Linked DNA regions of Neodiprion lecontei. The protein of the gene in region 4 binds, or shares a complex with, the protein of the main gene of each other region. Links are inferred from orthologs where the notes say so. Each region holds a gene or a part of one and is shown on either strand. Other genes may lie near its edges. The genes, in order: phosphatidylinositol glycan anchor biosynthesis class U protein, GPI transamidase component PIG-T, GPI transamidase component PIG-S and glycosylphosphatidylinositol anchor attachment 1 protein.

Region 1 (5,312 bases), on a different chromosome or scaffold from region 4:
AATGGCCAATATATAGAAATTTCAACCACGTGAAAATAAAATAACGAATGATGAATTGTTCAAAATCTTGATTTTTGCATGTTTGAAATCTCAGTATATCCACCATTCGAAATATTGACTCTTCCAAGTTTTTACCACCACCCAAGTATATATAGATTCAGAGATGAAAAGTCTTTTGCCAAAAAACTCGTAAAAAATGTAAGCCTAACCCCTTTAACCCCATTAAAAAGCCCTTTGAATTTTTGCTGAAAGTTTAGATGATTTTCAAAGATATTGGATCACTTTGATGCACTATATCGGCGTAATTTTGCTGTAGGAATCCATTGCTCACAGTCCGTACACGCTGCAAGCTACGGATGAAAAGTTACAACAAAAAAATGAAAGATTGTCTTCGTAATTTCCGTGCTGTTGGTCCAATGCTCTTCTTGCTATATTTTCTGCGTTTCTGGGGTTCTACATAGTCTAGAATTGTGTCAAGCAAATCAATTCTGAATCTGAAAATATTATGCTCAAAAAAGTACAGCTAATTCCTGTGAATTTGCGGTGAAACTTGTGACGATTTTGCTTTCCTATAGAGCAGAGCGTGCCGAGAGAGATAACGATGATTATATTAGGATTGTTTCTTATTCGATGGATTTGAGACAAAGATTTATAGTTGTAGGTGACTGTAGATTGAAGGTGGGGATGACTCAAGGTCACCGCAAAGTGGCGCACTCGAGATGAGTTTGTGCTCGTCTAGTTAGGGCATGTTTCAGTGGCTAGAGAGTAGAGACTAGAGAGCAAGAAGGATAGAAGACATTGAATGAAGAACTTGCCGGATTGTAACCTCAAACAGAAATTTGCGATTCGCCCTGTGAATAGTAATCAATATAATTGATAGTCAAGCACGAATGTTGCGCTGAAACGGACGATTGAACATCGGAATTGATTGGTGATAGCACACGCCAGGTGAAATTTGCAAAATTCTGAAAATAGGACCCAGCTATGTTCGGACGTGTGATACCAAAAAACTTTCGTAACATATCGGTACGTAAAAAATTTAATTTGCAGCATTGGCTCATCGAAAATCTTCAAAACTTCAATGTATAAACAAGCTAAGAAACGCCTTGTACTTCCATGCCTTCGACGAACCTTGATGGAAAACTGCTTATTTAATTACTGCAAACTTGTAATCAACTCCTCAAAATTTTCCAATATCCTCTCCAACCATTTATCGAAATCTCTCTGTTCCGACGCCTCCATGCTAAGACTGCTAGTACAAGCACGTCATTTGAATTAGAGAAAAATGAATAAAGCGAAAGTGTTCCAGCTTCTGTCACGAGTTTGGAGTGGACCGAACGGAGCACTAGCCGGCAAGCAAGCTGAACAGAAGATGGTCACTATTCTCAGAGATAAGTTTCCCAAAGCGAGCCTCATTGAAGTTACAGATGTATCTGGTGGGTATCTACCAATGAATCTGATTTACAATCACAGAAATTATTATTACATTGTTATTGTACATGTTTTCTACTGTTTAATAACATAGTTTCGCTAAAAGAGGATAATATATTATGCTGCACACACAAAAATAATATTAGAGTGTCGAATGTTACCTTGCAAAATTAACCAATGTACTATTAATGTATATAAATTAACAATGTAACTATTATTTTCCTGATTCACATAGGAGGGTGTGGCGCGATGTTTGAAGTAAATGTGGTTGCCCCAGAATTCAGAGGACTCAACACAGTTAAGCAGCATCGGGTTATCAATGAAGTATGAACTCATTTGATTACTACTTTGCAATATTCAGCAATTATAATAGTTATTAATATTTGACGTGTGCAAATTCAGTATAATCCTTGTGTTTCATGTTTGCTTATAGATTCTGAAGGAAGAAATTAAAAACATGCATGGTATTCGTATACATACAAGTGCTCAGGACACCTAGACTTTTTATATCAAAAGTGCTTCAAATTTATGAAATGAAAAATACAGCGACATGTATTTGGATATAGTTAACTGGATTTGGAATCAGTTGGAATTGCGTATATTTATACATATGTCACGAAGTTTAACGCATTCGAATTACTTGCGAGAGTGCATTTCTCGCGAAAAAATAAAAGGGTTAGCCTTCCTTTTTTGCGATTTTTAGAGTAATTTACCTCAGGTTCGACTTACAGGACCCTTTTCTCACTCGTTGGTTCCTAAGGAATTCAATAAAGATATCTAGAAAGTACGAAGACCAGCAGCTAATTGTAAGCAAATACGAAGAAAAACCGACGAAATCCATCTAAAATCATCTTCCCGCTCTATCTTTTAATCCATTATTCCTAACTATAAACTATTCGCATTCGTTTTCTTTTTCAGATTTTTTTTAAATCTGCACAATTTTGTAGAGGAAAATGCAACGAGGTTAGTTGACTTTAGTCTAGTTTATTAATTCTTGTGGGTTTTACAATTTGATTTTCGTCTTATTTGGTACGTTACCTCCAGACCCGGCAAACCATTACGAAAAAGAACTGGCCTAGCTAGCACCCATAGTAAATAGGTATATCTGTGGCCAAAGTGGGCAAACCTTGTACTAAAAGCTGATCAAATCTCAACACTTCGGCCTATCGTCGTTGCTGTCGTCAGCACTATTAGACGCTGTGAGTCGACCCTATAGCTGTGGTATATAGTTTGAGCAAATTGCATCGAGCTCCATTTATACAAGACGATATTCTCTATGGCTCTATTGCGGCTTAATGTTTATGTGCATTAATAGCGGCTCAGGTTATGAAAAATGAAGGCTAAAAATGTCCGTTTGATAGAGTTGCTAAATAATGAATTAAACTTTTTAACAGTAGATTGAAACTGATAAACGTCAAGTGTTGTAAGACGTACAGGTTAGGGTGTGGTTGCCACCAATTATAATGAGTACTACTCAAAAATTTGTATTTTTCGCTTTGGCGGCAACGATAAGGTTGCTATTAATATATTCCGAATATCAAAAGATCATCGCTGACAGAGTCGAAGTATCCACAGCACTTAACTCATGGAAAAAAGGTGAGCGTTTCCAATGTTTTTGCTGTCTTTTGCTCACTAAGTATGATCGTTCTTATATTGTTACCAGTTACCGAGGGAGTCTACCTACGAGAAGCTGGTATCGATCCTTACACCGGTGATCTGTTTCATGAAAGTCCCATAGGCCTTGTCGTCTTCAGTTATATGCAAAAGTACTTGTCATTGTGTATGTTATGTGGCATATTTGTCTTCACGGATTTGGCCACGGCATGGATTTTGGGTGCGACTGCTTATCGTTACACGAGTGAACTAGTGAGTTGATTCAATAATGATAATAGGATCTATTTTATAATGAAGTAGAAGACGAGACTGCAAATGTACTACATCTACTAAAACATAGCCATAAACCAACATTCAACCAATTTCCTGTAGATTGCCACCGAACAAAAAGACATCCAGAAACGCAAAAAGGAATCCAATGACGAAGAATTATCAACTTTACCTTCATCAATGTCAATACCAGCATCCAGTGTTACGTCTTCCGCTTTACTCGTACCTTCAGCTTACCTTTTCAACCCATACGTAGTTTTTAATTGTGTAGGATTAACCACAACCGTTTTTACGAACTTTCTGCTATCCGCGGCTCTATATTCTATGATAAACAAATCGAGATTATGTAGTTGTTTCACTATAGCTGTTTTAACATTGCAAGGACTTTATCCCATTACTCTTATGGTACCTGCCACAATATACTTGGCGCGAAACGAAGAAGGTAAAAATAAAAATTTCCCCTACGGAAATATTAATAAGACAATAGCGATGTTCATTGGTATTCTCATTGCGTTATATTACCTCTCCTACAAAGTATCAGGGAGCTGGTCATTTTTGCACAGTACAATTGGTTTCATTTTAACAGTACCTGATCTGCGGCCAAACATCGGCCTGTACTGGTACTTCTTCACAGAAATGTTTGAACACTTTAGGTGGCTATTTGTTGCATCATTTCAAATAAACGTAGGCCTGCTCTACGTTGCTCCTCTCGCGCTACGATTTCGCCGCGATCCTATGCTCCTGGCCTTCTCGTATCTCGCAATCGCGGCTATTTTCAAATCGTACCCATGTTTAGGAGAAGTAGGATTTTATATGGCTCTACTACCAATGTGGAAGCATCTCTTTCCGCGTAAGTCAATAATCTACTATTACTGTCTCGTAATTATTTATCCCTTCATATTTGTCCCAATTTATGTATATTTTTCCGAAACTAATGCGTCAATTTTATTTTCTCCAGATATGCAGCAAGGATTCATTGTCAGCTGCTTCCTTTTGTCCTGCACAGTGTTTGCTCCAACAGTTTGGCACCTGTGGATTTATTCACGATCAGCAAATGCGAACTTTTACTTCGGTGTCACGCTAGCCTTTGCTATCGCCCAAATATTTTTAGTTACCGATGTTCTCTTTGCCAGCGTCAAACGAGAATTTTCTTTGCGACACGGGTTGTCGAGAGAAATCCACGGAAATACTGGCAAACTTTTACTCGAATAAACTCCATTGGATGTATTCTTACACATACATTCCGTGTCCAGATTGTAATGCCGATTGGAGGTGAAAAATCGGGACGCACTCTAAAGAAGATGGAACTAAACATATAAGCATTCATTTGAAAATTGAATGCGTAACGTCAATTACGACGTTCACAAGTTTTAGTTGAGAATTCACAATGAATTTATTGCGGCGAAAATATCCCCTCTGCTTGGGTAACAACAAAATCCAGTGTCATGATTCACGAACGATTAAAAATATAATTCACCAACATTAGCGCAACAAATTATTATTTCTTTCCTTCCCGCCAAATCCATACTTTGCGTCACTCCTCTGTGTATCAACAACGCGCATAATAAGCAGTGGTTCACAGTTGGAACTCCAAGGTGGTATATCCCCACTTTAGTCAAAGATTAAAAATTACTCTCACGTAACGTTGGCGGGTGAAATTTTAATATCAATGTATAATCTGCGATCCATTGAAGATGAGGAACATTCTGAACACAAGCATGTGTGAGTTAAAGTTCAAGTAAAATTTTATCTGTATTCATACCTAAATCCCAGCCTTTAGTAATTAGATTAATTAATAAAAGAAAAAACATTATCAAGACGGTAACGGAAAACCTGATACACGCAACGCACGTTCTTGCGTAAATATTGCCCGGCTACCTGATATTCCGTAGACATAAAGCAGCTTCTTCGAATCACTTTCTCCGTACGCGTGGGTATACGTATAGTTATGCATGCCATTTCGTCATGCGCTTGAGTTTTTTTTTCATGAAGTATAT
Region 2 (5,844 bases), on a different chromosome or scaffold from region 4:
ATTCAAAACCGGCTACTAAAAATGACAAAAAGGACCGTGTTGAAATTTTGTACGTTCAAGATACCGGTAATCTGTATGAAAAACCTATTGTTCCAAATGGAATACAGTTAGAAATTAACTGCCATCTTCGCTTTTGAATCTATATTGTAGAAAAATGTTTTTAAATTTTTATGACAAATTTGTATACTTGGTTGATTTCTAGATTACTTAACCAAATCTACTGTTAAATACATTTTTCAAAACCTCATTACTTTCACATATATAAACAGAAAGGCAACTAATATGATAACTTGCATTTTATAATATTATTAATTGGTTTTAGACTCAATGAAAATGCATTTTATAATATTATTAATTGGTTTTAGACTCAATGAAAAACCACAAAAATGTGTTGTCACATTATGCATATAAATTTATTACTTCCGACTGAAAGGAAATGATGCGTCAAGAACACAAATCACAAATCAGTTAAAATAAAAAATATGACTCTGAGTGGGAAAGATTTTCAACGGGTGATTATTGAATTATTGTTACTTACAATGTAATTGTGAATAAAATAGTGTGTACAAAAGGTTGTACTGAGTAAGATAATACATAATACGAGTATGCTATACATAATTTTCTTATACCCCGCAGATACTTGCCTAGGAAACTGTGAAGGCCGCACTTTCAGAGGATACATTCGTAAAATGCGAAAAAAATGATGCATCAATAACTAAACGTTTTACGCATAAGTAATCAGGAATACATATTCTCTCAAACTCGAAATTCCTAACAATCAACACAGGCACTGCCGTAAATTTATAATAAAGTGAACAGATATGAGTAATTATAATCAGGGCACTTGATAATAAATTTTTGAACAATCTTGTGTTTGGGGGTTAGCGGGCAGAGTCGCAATCTAACCAAATAATATGAGTAGAAGTTGAAAAAAGGAACCTTGATCTTCTTTAAATTTTTTTCAATTGCTTTTGTGATAATGATTGCCTGAAGTTCATTAGGGTTTGTTACAGCATAGATTCAAACATTAATAACAATCGAGTCCTACCTAATTTACAAAAAATATTTACAAGTAGTATTTTTGTGTAGAAAGGTCTGGGTTTTCCTCTGCAAATACACTGTATTTAAAAAAAACACGGAAATCTAACGTCAGTTAAGAGCTTATTTTTATATGTCAGCTGTATTTTCTTTGGGAACGAAGATATGAGCGTTGACTGAAGATACACGAGTTAAGTAGTAAACATAGGTATGTACATAAATTACATACGGTACATATAGGAATAAATATATATCTCCATCCTTTGATTAACTTCTTTGATTCTGGCTCCCATCCTTTGCATCAAGAAAAGGTTTCTAACGCTGTTAACCGTAAACCAGGTGCATATTTATTGTACATTTATTTAGATGATATTATTTTTGTTAATCGGATGGAGTTTATTTGACATGACCGAGCAATTGATCAACGACCAATCAAATGCTTAGAAAGAGACAAAACATCGGCCGCGTGTGTTTCCTTCTCTCTCCTTTTTGGCGCTGCCACAAGCAGTACCAGTGAGTGCGCAGTCTATGCTCTATATTTTACGGCTATGCTAATACTAATAACTAATAAGGAAAATGACGCAGAGGGAGGTACGCGGGGTGTGTAAGTGTACCCAGTAAAACAATTATTTTGAAATAAACTTCCACAATTATGTATGCAAGTCATTAGTCAGCGGCAGTGAGTCCTGACTGGTGGAAAGACGATTCGAGCGATTTAAGTGCGATTAACTGGTGGAGGTTATGCGCATAGCCGTATATCCGAAGTGCGAAAAGTTTTTAACCTCGATTTGCGAATGGGCGAAGGGTTGCTTAAAAGTAATCCAATTGCAGTTACAATCGTGCGCGAAAATGCGAACTGCGTTTGCGATGTACTTTATACAGGCGTTGATATTGAGTGCCATAGGAGATGTCGGATTCGTTTCCTGTACTTCCGACGTAGATGATGCCTTCAACGAGGAGCTTATGCTGAAGCCCTTGCCAAGCGGACACGTCTACGCACATTTTCAATTTACTACCCTGTGGCGGACTGACATTGAGACTGAAACCTGTATGTACTACGTATAATCCGTACATACGTTCTTCTATATCAGTGTAGATGCATGGCCAAACGTCATAACCTGGAAAACGGCGGTACTAAGGTGAGGTCGGAGTGCTGACCAGATGAGTTAATCGTATTTTACAATTTTCTTCCCTCTTGAATAAAAAAATCTTTGGGAAATAATAGCGTGCACTATTGTGCTTGGGTGATGATTTGAGTAAGTTCGAAAAATTGACGCAAACACTGAACATAACCAGATTTTCACTCACTTTGAGGTTATGGTGTACTGATATCCGAATCCCATGGTTTGCGCACTTCTAGATCAATTTTCGAATTTTTTTTGTCCCAATACACAAATACGATCGCAAACACTGTCATTCCCCAACATTTGAAGTATTTTCCTTGCTCGTGAGAGAATAGCGTTCTGAAATTAGATTTTCTCACTTTGTTGGTACTTTAACCTCGCTTTAAGTTTGACACTCTATTGTTTCATTATTTGCTCATTCTTTGTTTGATCGCTCTATTCTTGAATGCAATTGATCTATCGAATTGCATACATCTTTCTGTATACAGTCCAACATTCTCGGCTATTTCCTCGTGGGTTAGGGGAAATAATCGGCCGGCACAATGTCAGAGAACTTCACGTCAGTTTGACTGAAGGATTATGGCGTTACGAGAAATGGGGATATCCTCTTCAAGATACCGGTTCTGGCGCCGAGGTTTATGCCTGGTTCAACGACGACCGAAGGTACAATAACTTACTATTATCTACCCTAACGACAATCACTCAACAACCTTGACATTTCAAAGAGTTCTCATCTTCTTTTCATCGATTGCCTTTCCTTGGGAAATTTGTATTAGTACCATATTTGATGATAATATACTCGATATTCTTGCTCTTAGGATCGATGAGAATTGGAAAAGCTTGACTAATGCTCTTGCGGGTTTGCTGTGCGCGTCGCTCAATTTTGTGGATGTGTCCAACAGCTTGTCACCTGATTTTACCTTTCGACCCAGCGGTGCTATTCCAAGACCGCTAAACTCTAGCTGTCTTCGATATTCTTCGCTGCCAAGAGAAATAGTTTGCACAGAAAACTTGACACCATTTAAAAAATTACTACCGTGCGACTCTAAGGTATGAACAAGAAAAAATACTCTGACAATATTTAACTAACGTCGAAATCACAATATTTTATCATTTTCGTCTTTGCTCGTATAAACAAAAAATTTTAAACCTATTCAACATAGTTTTATCCCTTAGAAAGGATTGGCTACTCTCTTGAATTCAGCATATATCCATAACACTAATTACCACTCGATAGCTGTTGATGTACGACCTGTATGTACCAATGCAGCATGCACGCAAACTACCATTGAACTGCGGCAAACAATTTCATTGGTCTACGACACTATGACAACTGATTCGCAGGTATGTACATATGGCATCGAATAGCAGGCACATTTTTATGAAAAACTCATTTTGGTTGAATCTTATTCTTTTGTATCATTCTTGATCCTACAAAATGAAATAGACTGAACCTTATCTATGAATTACCAAGTTAAAAATGCTGGATCCAACGTGATATTGGAATCCTGAAATAATTTTTGGTTCACAAAATAATATGAACATGGCCAATACTTTCTGACCTGCAGGACTGGTCGGTGCGAAAGCTTTTCGGCATTGGACTCCGAAGCGCTTGTCCATTGGCCACCCTGAGCCGTGTATATGTAGATGTAACCGATAATGAGACATCTGAAACTTATCGGCTAGTGCCTGAGCCACCGGAGACTCTAATCAGCTTACGAGGAGGACAAGAAAATAGAATAGCTGTGTACGATATTAAATCTTTGTCCAATGCCGGGATGTTCAATGTCGCTGCTGTCCACAGCAAAGCCAAAATTTATGGAGTCGAAATTCCACCGGTGCTCTTTGCAAACAGATATGTAGTAGGTGTGTCTGTGTTTATACTGTAATGGACTTGATCTTTATTAAACTGTAGTATTATGAAATGGACGGTCATTGTTCTTGACATAGCAGGATCTGAATAACTCGTGACAAAACGCTGTTCTCAGGCTATGGTCAAGAAAGAGGCGGCCTGGTGACAAAACTCCATAATAATTACTGGAAGCCATTGGATGTCGTGCTCCTGGAGAACATTCCATGGTACATACCGGTCTACACTCATACCATAAGGATCACCTGCCAGGGGAAATTACTCAAGCCTCGTATGTCTAGATTTCTGCGAGTATCGTTTGTTCCCATCTCCATTCTGTAAATAATTTTTTCTAATCCTTGGTTCGTGAATTTTGCTCGTGGTTTCAGTAATCAAGCGATACGTGCCTGGTAGAGAAAGGGAACGTCCTTACTACCTCGAAATGGTTCTGCGACTTCCGCCGCGTTCTGTAACAGAGTTTTCAATAGAATTAGACTATCTTTTTCTCAAGTGGCAAGAATACCCTCCGGACGCTAATCACGGGTTCTACATGGGCCCTGCAATAATAACCTCTCTTCTCCCAACTGCGAGAAATTACACCGCTCTACCTCAGGACGGAAGTACTATTTCATCCAGGTAAGGAAACAATGATCGATCAATTATTGAACAATATTCCGTTAAGCTTCGAGGACCAGGAGGTAAGAAGAGCATTACCATTTAGGGTGGCCACTGAGATGTTAAACCTGGCAAATTGAGTAATTTTTTTTTTTAAACTGGTCAGCACGGGATGTTATTCTGAAACATCCGAAGCTGTTTCCTGATTGGTCAATGCAGCAAATATAATACAACCTAAAGCCATCATTATTGTGTGGTTGCAGTTTCAATGCATCTCGGGACGGTTACCTGGTCCAATTACGGACTGAGATTCTACTTGTCAGTCTGCCAACGCCTGACTTTAGTATGCCTTATAATGTTATTTGTCTGGCTTGTACGGCCGTGGCACTGGCTTTCGGACCCCTCCACAACATAACAACAAAGAGGCTTGTTCTCAAGCCATCTAAGAAAAATAAACTAGTTTCTTACATCAGAGAGAAACTCTCCAAAACAAAGGTAGATAAGATAGAGTAGATATGCAAAGTTCTCTTCAGTCATATTTGCTATTCGCTCCAAAAAAGAATACTCCGTACACACTATTGGATCTGTCGCAAAGGCCTTGGCGACATAATATCATGAGTTGTAAAAATAAAAACTTGAAGCAATTAGGTAAATAAATCAAACAATCGATTATCTGGTATTTCTTACATAAAATGTTGGCATATTTCATTTCTGTAAATGCAAACCTTTTGAAACACCAATATACCTCTGTAACGCAAGACGGAAAAAATTCAGAACTCGGCAAATTTGGAACGAATCTGTGAGGCACAGTAGAGAACACAAATATAACATATAGTTAGATTTTATTGTGAACAATTCCGATACTAATCTCATTGTATACATATAATATACAATTGGGTACGTGACAAAAACGAAAAGATAAATGGACGGCTTAAAAAGTTATTCGAATATCTCGAATTGCATGGTATTATAGTATATTACTTACTTTGGTTATTTTTAATCGTAATTGCTATAATTTAATCTTGAAAAGTATTAGGTACAATTATAATGGAATTGTATAACGTACGGACAACTTGATAAATAATCAGAAGAAGTAGAAGGATGACTTTGCAAACATAATGACAAACAGTAGAGCAGGCGACGAGAGGTGGTACATGGTGCACGCACTCCCCCTCGAACCGTCGTTTTCGTTTTTCTGATTGTCCAAGACCCCTACAC
Region 3 (4,641 bases), about 5.0 Mb from region 4:
CTGACGACTGTTGTGACTATTTAAGTTTTCTGACAAACGTTAATACCTGATTATTCTGTCGCGCACGCTCAGTGAGCCAAGTCGGGACGCGTTGCGTTATGTTTTCATCAAAAAGTTTGCATAAGCAAATTGTATGGTTCAACGATCTAGTTCGACAGCCTCGTAATTTGTTTATCCTGTTTGTATATCCAAATTAGAATTTTAAAGCAAGTTAATGTAGTTAGTAAGACCATAGCGCCAACTTCAATATCTAATATCCGATTACAGTCATGAATGACATATACAATTCCGGTTGTATGAAGGTACGCAGTGCATGTTCACAATATATTACTTTTACTTCACTCCATTAAGCGTGGAACCCCAGGATAATACATTTATGTATTCAATACCTGATCGGACTTGTCCTGACCGGTCTCTGGATTAGATTTGAAATACATCTGTTCAAAAAGGGAGGAGTAAATTGGGATGTCAAAGCACCTAAAAAGCTTAAAGCAAACATTAAATGTAATATTGCAGAAGCTTTTTTGGTAGACGTAATGTATCTAATTAGAAATAAGTATTTCTACATCCACTTAAAATAAATCCAACTACTGGGGTAGGAAACACGTAGCGTTTATCACCTTTTATACGTGTCGAACTCTAGATTAGTGCAGGTACATATACGCAAGATGTTTGTCTGCACCAGAAAGACTAAATTCTTCGTTCCATGAAACTCTACTATAGTTTCGAATCGCCCATCACAGTTTATAGGGTATTTATATGATATACTTTTCGATTGTGAAAGAACCGAGAAAGGTTTCCTAATATAAATCACGTACAATGTAGTTCTTAACGGTAACGTAACCGAACGTTGAAAAAAATTTAAGTTAGACGTTCGACTTCGTGTGTAATAGCTTCATTTTGACACTCGTATGACAAAAAGATAACAGTTTTAGTATTCGTCACAACAGGTAGAAAATAAATTTAAGAAATTTTTGAATGAAAATAATAAGTATTGAAACTTACCAGACCATGATTTAAAAAGATTGTAAGAACGAAATGATTAGAATAAATTATCAAAGCAAAGGACAAAGGCCAATCATCATTTATTGCGTATAAACTGAACAAAAAGGGATTGATATTAAGAAGAAAATTTAATTCGTAAATATTTTAAAGACCAACGCCTTTTCTTTCATACTTGAAATTGTTTTTTTTTTTATAACATGCTAATAATTTGTTGACTCAGTTCAATGCGTTCAGAAAAGTTGTAGAATAGGATTTTCCACTATTCCAATCAATGGCAGATGCAGACTGAAAGAATGAAATGAAATCCAGGTGAATGATTTGCGTTACAAGCTGGTATACAGACTAGTTTGCAGGTATTACTCAAGTTTCAGGTTCAAGAAATCATGAAATTGAATAAATGTTAACCGTCTAGCAACAGCTACTTCTGTCTAATGGAAATAGTAAAGTGCACCTGTGTACTCGGTGCTTATGTATGTGGTTGTCTAAAAAATGCAAGTATTTGATTTCACAATTCACAATTCTGCCTGCCCAGCTATTAATATTGTCAGATGAAGGCTACAAGTAATTTTACATTAATCTCATTTAATGATGCAGTAATAATATACTATTCAGTACAGAGACTAAAAAAAAGAATATTTTGTACTAGATTTTTTTCACTTGTTACAGTTTCCTTCCTAATGCAAGATAACCCACTCTACCGTGAATGAAAAAAAGTGAACACTATATTATGAAGAATATCATTATTGGTGTGAACATGTGACCGAAGTGGAGTTGCATTGGAGTCATAAATTACTGGTAAGAATTATTTCTGCTTCCGTAAACTGTTGCATGAGTTTGAAAAAATTCTTCTGTTCCATAGTTTTTATAGTACTGTGTTTAGTTCAATCTGATCAAATGTGCCTGCTCTATATATAATTACAACAGTGCTAATATGTTGGAGTGACCTGGAGAACTATTACAATTTTCTTTAATTGGCGCCATCTCAGCAGTCACTAGGTAATTAGAATTTTAGGCATTGCGGTTATATAGTGTCAATGCTTAGGGCATAGAGAAATGGAGAATTCCTGGTATACACTTTCGTGTAAGTGGAAAATGGCATAGAAAGGAAAGTAGTAAGACTAGTTCCTTTCTTTGTCTAATGCACACGTAGAAAGAAAGAGCATCTAGTCTTATTACGTTCCGTTCTCTCTCCGACTCGAATACTTTTTCGACATCGACGCTTTCTGCATGTTTGTAATCTGCTCTAGGTGCCAGTAGCAGAGCAATAGAATAAGCCCGTCGAGCGATTATATCGGAGTTGAATTATGCTGAGGGTACGTTCCATATCCGTACAATTAATTATAGAGCGAGTAATTCTCACAAGCAGGGTGAAAATGAGACGCATGATCTTACCATCTGAAGGCGTATCGTATCCTACGGATCCCGAATTATCACTCATTGTTATCAAAGCTTCAATGAATAGATTTCGACTTGGAGCGGTGTACAGATAACCTATAAATGTATGTAATCAGATTTTAACTAATTGATTGATAGAGCTGGGCATTTTTTGACTTGTTAATTATCGTTAAAATAGAAATGCAGATATTCAGGAGCTCTAATTTATGCCCAGAAATACTTAAATGAGTGTTTTCCTTAGATTCACGTACAATTGACTAGTCCATCATGCGAATACACAACCTAACACAACACTCAACAACACCGTAAACCTAGTTACCCACTGATGAAGCAGAGGTAAGCAGACTGCACTTGGTGACTTTTTATTCTAAGAGTTGGCACACATTCACTGGTGCTAACACTGATATACCTATAAAGGTCTGCCTATAACACATCCGTGGTGCAAAATGAAAACACCTCGAAATATTGCTAATTGCCATTTTAGGATGTCACATTACGAAGTTTTATAATATAAATTTTATGATACGTTCAGATCATTAAATCTCAAGACAGCGCCTATCACGTCTGCTTTATCGATAAGTTGTCGCCCGTGAAACCTTGTAGCTCAAATAAACGTACCGACTGAGTGATATAATCTGAACGCGGCATTAAGCCTTGGTGCGTTGACTGCAGAATATACAACGCTTGATGTAATAAGGTTCGATTCGTCGCAGCTCAATTGCACTTTTACGTTATAATGCGTCATGTGATGTTGTCAACGCACTATTTAATTCACTCGGTGTAATTGCATTCATATTGCGAAAAACGAACGCAAGCATAAACGGTATATAATAATATTTTCGGTGAACGTATTATTTGCTAAGAATGTCAGATCGAAACGAATATTTTTTTTTTAATAGTATGGAACAAAGTCAATCACATCGGAGTTATGGTTCAATTAACTGTAAAGATGTCTTTTAACATATTATAATAGAAATCCGCAGTTATATTCAAATCTAATGGATATCAATGTCCACACGTACCATTCTAGGAAAACGGATATTCTGTTTGCGATTCGCGAGAAAATATACTTTAGACCTAGACAGAGTATCTAACTTCGCTGTGTAGTCTTCATACCAATTATTTAATTATGCGATCTCACCGAGAAGTGAATATTTTAATGTTTAACGACTACGATACAGACGTTGCCACCAATAATGACGCAATCAATGATCGTTAAGTGGTGATAAAACAGGAAAACCGAAAATAACGCGTATTGCTGTTTGATGTAAACGCAATAGCTACAATATCTTATTCAAAACATACTCACCATTGCTGATTACAGATCATTGATAGTTCAATTGAGAAATCTACATTCTGATAAATAGTTCACAAGCTGCATTGACAAAGTAATTGCACTGATCTGCGTTTTATAAAAGTACGCCGCTTTGATACGTGAAATGAATTTTTATTGAAGTTAGTAAGTTCAATAACAGAAATTGAATGTGGTTAACTACATTTAGGCAAGTTGTTTTTGATGCATATCGTAATCAAATTCCGGATGTGGTAAAAATATTGCGTTTTATCCGACAACGTAAATGAAGTCGTAACATGCTGCACGGTGCGTACTAAGTGGATAATGTATGGGCACTCATTTGTGCGATGATTTGTCCTTGGGAATAAATAGTCGGCCTTGTAACTTTTTCTGAGATATGCAAAGTATCGTTTTACAAATCTTAAGTTTAATATGGCATCAGCATAAAATCAATTGACAATCCACATTCGCAGTACACTTTAGACACATAAATGATAGAAGCTACATGAAATTCGATTCTTCAATTCGTCGAAGATAATTACTCGCAATGTTAAGTGCATCAATCGGAATAGGTGTTTTTTTGAGCATGCGACACGTAAGATAATTATGATACAGCGGTTGAAGCGAAGTAATGCCGCTTGTTCACGTATACCATTAACATAGTTCGAAGAATATATGCACATGATAAATAAAATACGATGCAAAGATTGATAATGCGAAGGAAAAATTGTGCATGAATCTCTCGCATGTCAGACGAATCGTTTATCAAGAAGACGGACGTCCAATCTATCATCTCCAGTATTCTACTAATTGCAATTTGTACAAAGAATTACTTCGATTAACTACAATATATACTAATAGGCTATTAGCGATATATTACATAAGTAGATATTATACGGATGCCTCTTCGCAGATTGGACGGGCACAAAATGCTCTGCATCTTCGGT
Region 4 (6,853 bases):
CGCAGAATGGAACGCTGCAGTATTCTTTCTCTACAATGTCATAACTTTCTGAATCAACGTAACACCACGGACCACCTGCGCTGCTATCCGGATTTCTACAGAAGTTTTTGGCCTTGTTTCGGGACAGATCTGAGAAGTAGTTACTGGGGAATTTTTCTGTCTGAGGAAATGATAAAATCGATTATGAAATGATGATGAGGCCCACAGATACTTTCGAAAATGTAAGGACCGTCAAAATTTTACCTTATTAATGGCCAATTTCAAACGCTTGTCCCAAGAATTACATTTTCTACCAGACGAAGACGTTTCTCGAGTTCCACCATACTCGGAACCTGTTCCTGATATTCTACATTCTAAAAATATGATTGAAAGAAATTAATACAGCATCAATTGAACTGAAGCACCAAATTGAATGCTACACCTTGGTATGGTGGTCAGATGTAACGATATTGGATGAACGCCTAAATGTTCACCTCCAAAATTACACAGAGGCACTTCGCATTCGTCGTCAATCAGATTTGGGTCCATTGTATAACACCAAGGACCTCGAGGATCTTTGGTCGGATTTCTACAATAGTTTCTAACAAGTCGTAAAGATCTTTCAGGAAAGACTTTATCAGTAATGGATTCGCTGACCTGCGGTGATTAGAATAATGTCGTGAAAAATGTACCGTGTAACTTAATCATCAACGACAAGTGTTGGCCGATACGTTCAAAATTTATGGATCAGATATAGCCGAGCTACTCGTGTTATGTTATCCGCATGAACAAATAACAAAAAGTCGTGACGGTACAGTAAGAGTGAACCTGATGAAGAGGTTTCTCCGAATACCACATCTGACATCGAATTCCACCAGCAGTTGTCGTGATCGAACCCATGTAATCGGTACCCAATTGCGTGAGCTTGCATCTGGACAAATCGGTACGAGTCGCGTTTCGTTCCGCTGCAGAGAAGAAAACATATAGCTAATAAGTGGATTCAAAATGTTCAAACAATTGCACTTGTGAAGGTTAATAAGTTTCCTGGATCGAATTATTTACATTTTGAAGCGCTTGAATGAGCTATACAAGTCTGTAATTCCAGTAATAATAGCGTGAAAGTAAAGGAACAAATCATTCCTAAACAATTAATTAAATACTGTGAATATAATGCAGTTTATTTGCAGAAAATGGTTCAATATACACAATTTTCGTTTTATCAAAACAACTACTATTCGAACAATCGAAACGCATTATTCATATATTTTTATATATCTCAGTGATTTTTACGGTCGAACCCTGCGTGAATACGTCTTTTGACAGGTATTTGTATTCGTCGTAACGTCTTGTGAAACAGAATACAGCTTTCCAAAACGTAAGCATAACCCCAACGTAATTCCTCGTCGAGATATGAATCATCGGCATGAATGGGATCCAAAAGTTGAATCTGAAATCCCAAACTAGCCTGCGTGTCCGTGCCTCGTCATGATTTGTAAATTATCCGCCGCAGCGTCGACATATTGAATCGAAATATGCAACCGCTAAGCACAATTCGAGAGCTGAAGTTTAGTATCGATTATAAAAATGGCCGCCGGCCGTGGGCAGGGCTGTCAAAATTGAATGTGCAGGTTGTTGACTGGTGAAAATTTGTTGTAAATAACCTGACATAAGAATTTAATTATGAATTAATTGCACCAGAGTGATTTGTAGTTACCTCAAATGTTACTGTTCAGGACAGTCTGCGTTTTTCACTAGTAATTTTAGTGTTGGAAACGATTTTGCGCGAATGTTTGAGGTTATATGCCGCTGTTTGGAATTCTTCTGTTCTCCCCGGTGTTGAAAGAATGGGTCTCTTAACGGATCCCAGAGCTGGGAATGGAGCAGTTATAAAATTTGTTATGAAATGGGAAAAGTTGTTATGCTTGACGCTGTACGTTACAGGCGTAATATGGTTTGTGTCCCTGGCATATCCTGATTTCAATGACAGTAAGTATATTTTATCGTACTAAACCATTTGATTATCAAAAATGTTGTAGTATCCAGTTTCACTTGAAATTAATTTATAGATACCTATTTTTCTGAAAATGCTCTCTTACCTGGATTGGTTACCAATGAATTTAATGAAGATGGCGGAGCGAAACGATTTCACGATGAACTCCTCGCTGAGATGAAGAAATATCCGGATGACATGCCCTACCCTTGGCTATTAGCAAAATTCCGTCAACTCAATTTAGATGTTTATACTCATAACTTTACGCTCAACTATCCACTCTCTCAACAGAAGGTATGAATTTTGTCAGAAACATGATCCAAAACATGACTCGTTATTAACTTGTGAGATGTTCTGTAGTAACTAATTTCCAATTTTTATTTCCATGCTGATTTTAGACACTGATTCAAAATACGATTTTGAATATTTATGAACGAATAAAAAACTTTTATTGATTATAAAGAAATGAATGAAATCTTACTCTAGCATTCTATAAATAGAATTTCGATTTTCAGAAACACAGTTACTAGAAAAATTATTTACCAAACGACTGCACTTAATTTCTCAAATCTGAAACTCATGAGTAGAGTTACTTAGTGCCATTTCGATAAGTAATGCAACTTTCGGTTCCTTTGAAACTTAGGTGCAAAATTATTCAAAATTCACTATCACCGCTCATCCTGCATGACAATTTTATTCTTTACAGTTTACTGGACAGAATGTGTATAGCATATTGAGAGCTCCGCGAAGTGCCAGTACCGAAGCAATAATATTAAGTGTACCATACCGATCTGCAAGCAGCATTCATCTGACCACTGCACCATCGATAGCTCTATTACTTGCATTTGCTAAATTCTGCCGGAGTAAGTGCCCTCATTTAGCTCTAACATTAACTTACGCCATATTTACAATTATTGCAATTTTCAGAACAGAATTATTGGGCAAAGGATATCATTTTTGTTGTGACTGAGCACGAGCAGTTAGGAATGCAAGCTTGGCTGGAGGCGTATCATCGCTGTACGTGTGGGCAGGATGGGGTATTGATTGCAGGCGACTTGGTAGGAAGAGCTGGGTCTATTCAAGCTGCCATAAATCTGGAAATGCACTCCTTCAAAATTGGATCCATTGACATCAAGGTGATTGGAGCTGAACCCCTGTGTCTGGGGAGTTCATTAACCACTTACTACTACTTAGCCAGTTCGATTATGCAAAAATACACAATCAATTTTTTTGTACAGGTGGAAGGTTTAAATGGACAACTTCCAAATTTAGATCTTGTTAATCTGGCAAACAAAATGTGTGCCAAAGAAGGGATCCGGAGAACATTTCAACGCAGAGCAGACAGTAATCCAAAAGACAAAATACGAAAATGGTGGTACCAATTTGTTACCATGATGTCGATGGTGTCTACGCAAGCAACTGGTGTGCCAACTGGAAATCACGGTGTTTTTCACAGGTATTGTTTGGAATGTGGATAATATTAGCAGAGCCACCTCAGAGAGTTTGATGATGAATAATAGCATAATTAGGTCTAATATTAAAAATAACGGTGCTCGACTTGTTTCGAGACCAAACTTTCTTGTGAGAAGGTTGTGCTCTTAGCTCTCCTTTTTGATTTTTGCCAAAATATTTACCAAAAAAGTTCTGAAATCAATTATTTCACATGCTACATCAATGTTGTTTTGCAAAATAAAGCTATGGCGATCAATCCCAATTTGATCCGACTACACGTTCAACAGATACAGCCAAAAACTTCGAAGAGTTCTCAGTTTTTTGAGTTGTCAATATCAAGTTTGTAGAAAATGGTAAAGAAACGAGAAACAAATTGTTGGGGTATGAACACATCTTATTCAAAGAATTGTTCAGTAACCCTTAATTTGGATCCGAAAAGCATCTAAAGTGCTCCTTATGATGTTATACCTCATGGTCAATTTTTGTGACACATGCCTACTCGTGTTGCACATGTTTAATTACAAGTATTATAATTCTGTTGCTGCAATCATTTTTTTTTGTATTGAAAGTCAAGTCATTCAATTAAGTCAGTAAGTTAAGAATCATGAAAAATGAAAATATCAAATATTTTCTCAAGTTGATTTTAATTTGTTTTACAAGAAAAAAATTAACCATTATTTTTCTGTTCAAGGTTTGGTATTGAAGCCATTACATTGGAAGGTTTTGCCAAATCCGGGTCTGGGACGGAATCCACTATTTACAACATAGGACGGGTTGTTGAAAGTCTTATTCGTTCGCTCAATAATTTATTAGAACGATTCCATCAATCATTCTTTTTTTATCTGTTACCGTCGACAGATAGGTATATTTCTATTGGTAAGTTAATAACACAAAAATTTATTTTTGGTCACAGTGGTCGGACCAATCCTGCCGAATTTGGCCAAATACGGAAATTTTAACTGAAAGTGTGTAATTTGTGTAGACTATATTGTTCTACTTTTCCTCTCAGGATTATATATGCCACCATTAGCTCTAATTATTGCTGGGCTTTTCATAAAAGCATTTTCTGTGTGGCTTAAGTTACAAGAATCTACTGAAAAAAAAGATGGTGAAAGTGATGCAGTTAAACAAGCCAAGGTGAATTTTATCAACTTTCTCCACCACCCTTTTCTGTCCTCAAAATTCGCGAAGTTGTCATTAATTTTTATAATTTAATTTAGTCAGAGGAACTTGTACTGTCACACATCGCTTGGGAGGTACTTTGGACTCACATATTGGGGGTAGCGACATTGTCTGCCCCACGATTGTTTACCTATATAGGCATAAAATTTCATCTAGCGACCGAAAATTCAGTATCCCTAGGCCTCTTACTTCTCACAATCGTGATGTTTATTGGGACTCTCTGTTTTGAAAGGTAATCTGAGCAATCTGAAACAAGGTAATATATGAAATAAAATGCATCTGCAAACCAGAATCTAAAATATTGAACAGTACCAGATTGATTTCACTTCCATCAGCAACAAGAATTTTAATCTTTTTACGAGGAGCTTAAACTGTACACAGCATCATTTTTTCAGATATAGGACCTACGAAACTGCGTCCTTACTTTATGTGATAGCATTAATAGAATTGGCAACGATGCTTTTATGCATTTCAATGCACAACTTTTCCTTGGCATTAGTAGCTGCCGTTGTGTACGTTCCTGCAGCATTGACCGTCATACCAAAGAAGGGAAACGAATCCAGGTCAGGCATCACAAATTATACCTGTATGAATATTTTTGTTTTGTAATTATTACTAAAGTCTGCAGGAAATACGATACATAGAATTTTACATGGTCTGATAAGCTTGTTCTTTTTTCATTTCTGTTGTAAGATGACTTTTCTAATCTAATCACGCTGGAAAAAGTGGTGATAAAAATACCGCTGATAAAACCATCCATTACTTACTTCTTGACAGAATTTCTAGTCATTTCCTACCGTGCAATGCTAGATAACTAGTGCAGTGCATGCTTGTTCAAATGTCTCTTATTTGGAAACTTAGCTTGTTATGCCTATGTTTGTACAACTTTCAAATATTTTATTTACGAATACGCAACGAATTTATTTTGCTTACCCAGACATCTCATCAATAATTGGCTCTTAAATTATATACTAAACACGTTCTAGATAAGATAGATGCATACAAAACATCGTGCTGATAACTGTGAGGTTTGCACACATTGGCATAGGTGATGAATCGCTGTTTTCATTTTAGTCAATCAATAATTTAAGAACAATTTTAGTGAAATAAACAGTGATGCTTGGATATTTTAGATGTAAGCACTTATTAAAAACCGAGCTATGCAGTACTTTATATATGATATTACAAATGAAAATTAATTACATGGAAAAAAGTGCTGCTTATTTAACGGTTTCAATTTTACCATTTATTCGTTTTTTCTTATATTTTAAATCGTGAATAAAATAATGCCCAAGTGATTTAGCTGAGAAATGAGTAAAACGTAAATATAATTTTCAGATTCCACAATTTACGTTGTATACCCTGGATACTGCTACATCCGCTTTGTCTAGCATGTACAGTAGTAGCGGTATATACGCATTTTACATTCCCGGACTACACAATCATTGCTTTTGCACTGAAATGGATCCAAGCATCAAAGCAAGCGATCGTATTTGGGATTATCGATTCCATGGTCTATGGGAATTGGCTGTACAGCGTAACGGTCTGCGTTTTACTTCCGACATGGCTTATATTCTGGATAGTAGTTACTTCTAAACCAATTTTGCGAATTTCTAAGTGAATGTATTATATGAAATGTAAAAATCAAAACGTGCACACGATAGTGAATAAATTTATGGAGGTAAACATATTCCGTTGAATAAAATTGAAATTTGCAATTCTTAAAGTATCTATAACTCCGGAATTGTTATCTACAATCACATATTTTTCTATGTGATTCATGAAGATTTATTTTGAGTCAATCACTGTTGCGGGTATGAATTATTGCTAACTTGTTTGAATTTACCGATTTGATGTGCCATTCGTTTGTCGGTGGACAAGTATTCAATATCATATTCAGAAATTGTACTGATCTCCTCAGATGTGCCATATAGATCATTTTCGTATTTTATGTAATCAAACGAAGTGAAACAAATGTGTTTTCCGTGGAAATAAATCAATTAATGATAATTTGTTGATGAATTTCGGGGAAAAACAACACGGGGATAGTGAAATTATTTTTATAATCAATTATAATTGATCATTATCAGCGAGTGAATAAAAATATTCGAGTACAATAAAGTTGAGGCTATTAGCAAGAAATCTCCCATCTATCTTTCAATGGAGCCACACAGCTGTTATCGAATGCTTATCGCCAATCTTTTGTTCTTGAGATATTGGAATTACGTGGGGGGTTAAAAACAGGATATA

What was found.
Region 1: the proteins of glycosylphosphatidylinositol anchor attachment 1 protein (region 4) and phosphatidylinositol glycan anchor biosynthesis class U protein are in contact, whole or in part, in a cryo-EM structure (PDB 8IMX), measured with the Homo sapiens proteins. The link is inferred for Neodiprion lecontei from reciprocal best matches to the Homo sapiens genes GPAA1 and PIGU. Residues at the interface, in NP_003792.1 of Homo sapiens: Gln245, Leu310, Arg311, Arg313, Phe358, Leu359, Ile371, Ala389, Leu390, Trp393, His397, Leu500, Ile504, Leu508, Cys512, Leu515, Thr516; in NP_536724.1 of Homo sapiens: Tyr349, Ile355, Phe356, Cys360, Ile363, Val364, Leu367, Leu368, Val371, Leu372, Leu375, Ile377, Tyr378, Ala379, Gly380, Ser381, Phe386.
Region 2: the proteins of glycosylphosphatidylinositol anchor attachment 1 protein (region 4) and GPI transamidase component PIG-T are in contact, whole or in part, in a cryo-EM structure (PDB 7W72), measured with the Homo sapiens proteins. The link is inferred for Neodiprion lecontei from reciprocal best matches to the Homo sapiens genes GPAA1 and PIGT. Residues at the interface, in NP_003792.1 of Homo sapiens: Arg97, Ser98, Val99, Gly100, Glu102, Tyr104, Arg134, Ala135, Pro136, Arg137, Ala138, Ala139, Ser140, Thr141, Glu142, Arg171, Gly172, Gln173, Ile174, Tyr199, His200, Asp201, Val202, Leu212, Gln213, Gly214, Arg215, Ala218, Arg311, Tyr312; in NP_057021.2 of Homo sapiens: Gln91, Gly92, Phe93, Arg95, Arg97, Tyr98, Ser108, Phe211, His212, Thr213, Ser214, Asp247, Phe249, Ile250, Arg340, Gln355, Tyr357, Val358, Ser359, Gly360, Tyr361, Gly362, Leu363, Leu371, Tyr373, Lys441, Asp459, Pro460, Asn461, His462.
Region 3: glycosylphosphatidylinositol anchor attachment 1 protein (region 4) and GPI transamidase component PIG-S share a complex: the UniProt entries of both Homo sapiens proteins name them as parts of the GPI-anchor transamidase complex. The link is inferred for Neodiprion lecontei from reciprocal best matches to the Homo sapiens genes GPAA1 and PIGS.

What each region holds. Positions count from the first base shown.
Region 1 is NC_060260.1:40,147,971-40,153,282, reverse strand, and holds phosphatidylinositol glycan anchor biosynthesis class U protein, read left to right. Parts: upstream 1-1,666; 5' UTR 1,667-1,755; intron 1,756-1,833; 5' UTR 1,834-2,894; coding exon 2,895-3,027; intron 3,028-3,094; coding exon 3,095-3,297; intron 3,298-3,417; coding exon 3,418-4,165; intron 4,166-4,273; coding exon 4,274-4,527; 3' UTR 4,528-4,800; downstream 4,801-5,312. UniProt on the Homo sapiens protein: Component of the glycosylphosphatidylinositol-anchor (GPI-anchor) transamidase (GPI-T) complex that catalyzes the formation of the linkage between a proprotein and a GPI-anchor and participates in GPI anchored protein biosynthesis.
Region 2 is NC_060264.1:23,625,945-23,631,788, forward strand, and holds GPI transamidase component PIG-T, read left to right. Parts: upstream 1-1,621; 5' UTR 1,622-1,779; coding exon 1,780-2,086; intron 2,087-2,650; coding exon 2,651-2,825; intron 2,826-2,980; coding exon 2,981-3,212; intron 3,213-3,338; coding exon 3,339-3,506; intron 3,507-3,730; coding exon 3,731-4,028; intron 4,029-4,150; coding exon 4,151-4,303; intron 4,304-4,400; coding exon 4,401-4,647; intron 4,648-4,889; coding exon 4,890-5,139; 3' UTR 5,140-5,319; downstream 5,320-5,844. Other genes in the region: CD109 antigen, read right to left, coding at 5,711-5,844. UniProt on the Homo sapiens protein: Component of the glycosylphosphatidylinositol-anchor (GPI-anchor) transamidase (GPI-T) complex that catalyzes the formation of the linkage between a proprotein and a GPI-anchor and participates in GPI anchored protein biosynthesis.
Region 3 is NC_060262.1:30,735,344-30,739,984, reverse strand, and holds the start of GPI transamidase component PIG-S, read right to left. Parts: upstream 3,022-4,641; 5' UTR 2,652-3,021; intron 2,497-2,651; 5' UTR 2,444-2,496; coding exon 2,398-2,443; intron 1,232-2,397; exon of another isoform or gene 1-1,231. UniProt on the Homo sapiens protein: Component of the glycosylphosphatidylinositol-anchor (GPI-anchor) transamidase (GPI-T) complex that catalyzes the formation of the linkage between a proprotein and a GPI-anchor and participates in GPI anchored protein biosynthesis.
Region 4 is NC_060262.1:35,686,648-35,693,500, reverse strand, and holds glycosylphosphatidylinositol anchor attachment 1 protein, read left to right. Parts: upstream 1-1,556; 5' UTR 1,557-1,823; coding exon 1,824-1,965; intron 1,966-2,045; coding exon 2,046-2,263; intron 2,264-2,675; coding exon 2,676-2,832; intron 2,833-2,896; coding exon 2,897-3,105; exon of another isoform or gene 3,106-3,207; coding exon 3,208-3,425; exon of another isoform or gene 3,426-4,112; coding exon 4,113-4,297; exon of another isoform or gene 4,298-4,430; coding exon 4,431-4,558; exon of another isoform or gene 4,559-4,641; coding exon 4,642-4,835; exon of another isoform or gene 4,836-4,849; intron 4,850-4,998; coding exon 4,999-5,166; coding exon of another isoform or gene 5,167-5,189; intron 5,190-5,941; coding exon 5,942-6,224; 3' UTR 6,225-6,314; downstream 6,315-6,853. Other genes in the region: uncharacterized protein LOC124293465, read right to left, coding at 1-160, 244-353, 474-611, 777-944, 1,042-1,117. UniProt on the Homo sapiens protein: Component of the glycosylphosphatidylinositol-anchor (GPI-anchor) transamidase (GPI-T) complex that catalyzes the formation of the linkage between a proprotein and a GPI-anchor and participates in GPI anchored protein biosynthesis. Binds GPI-anchor.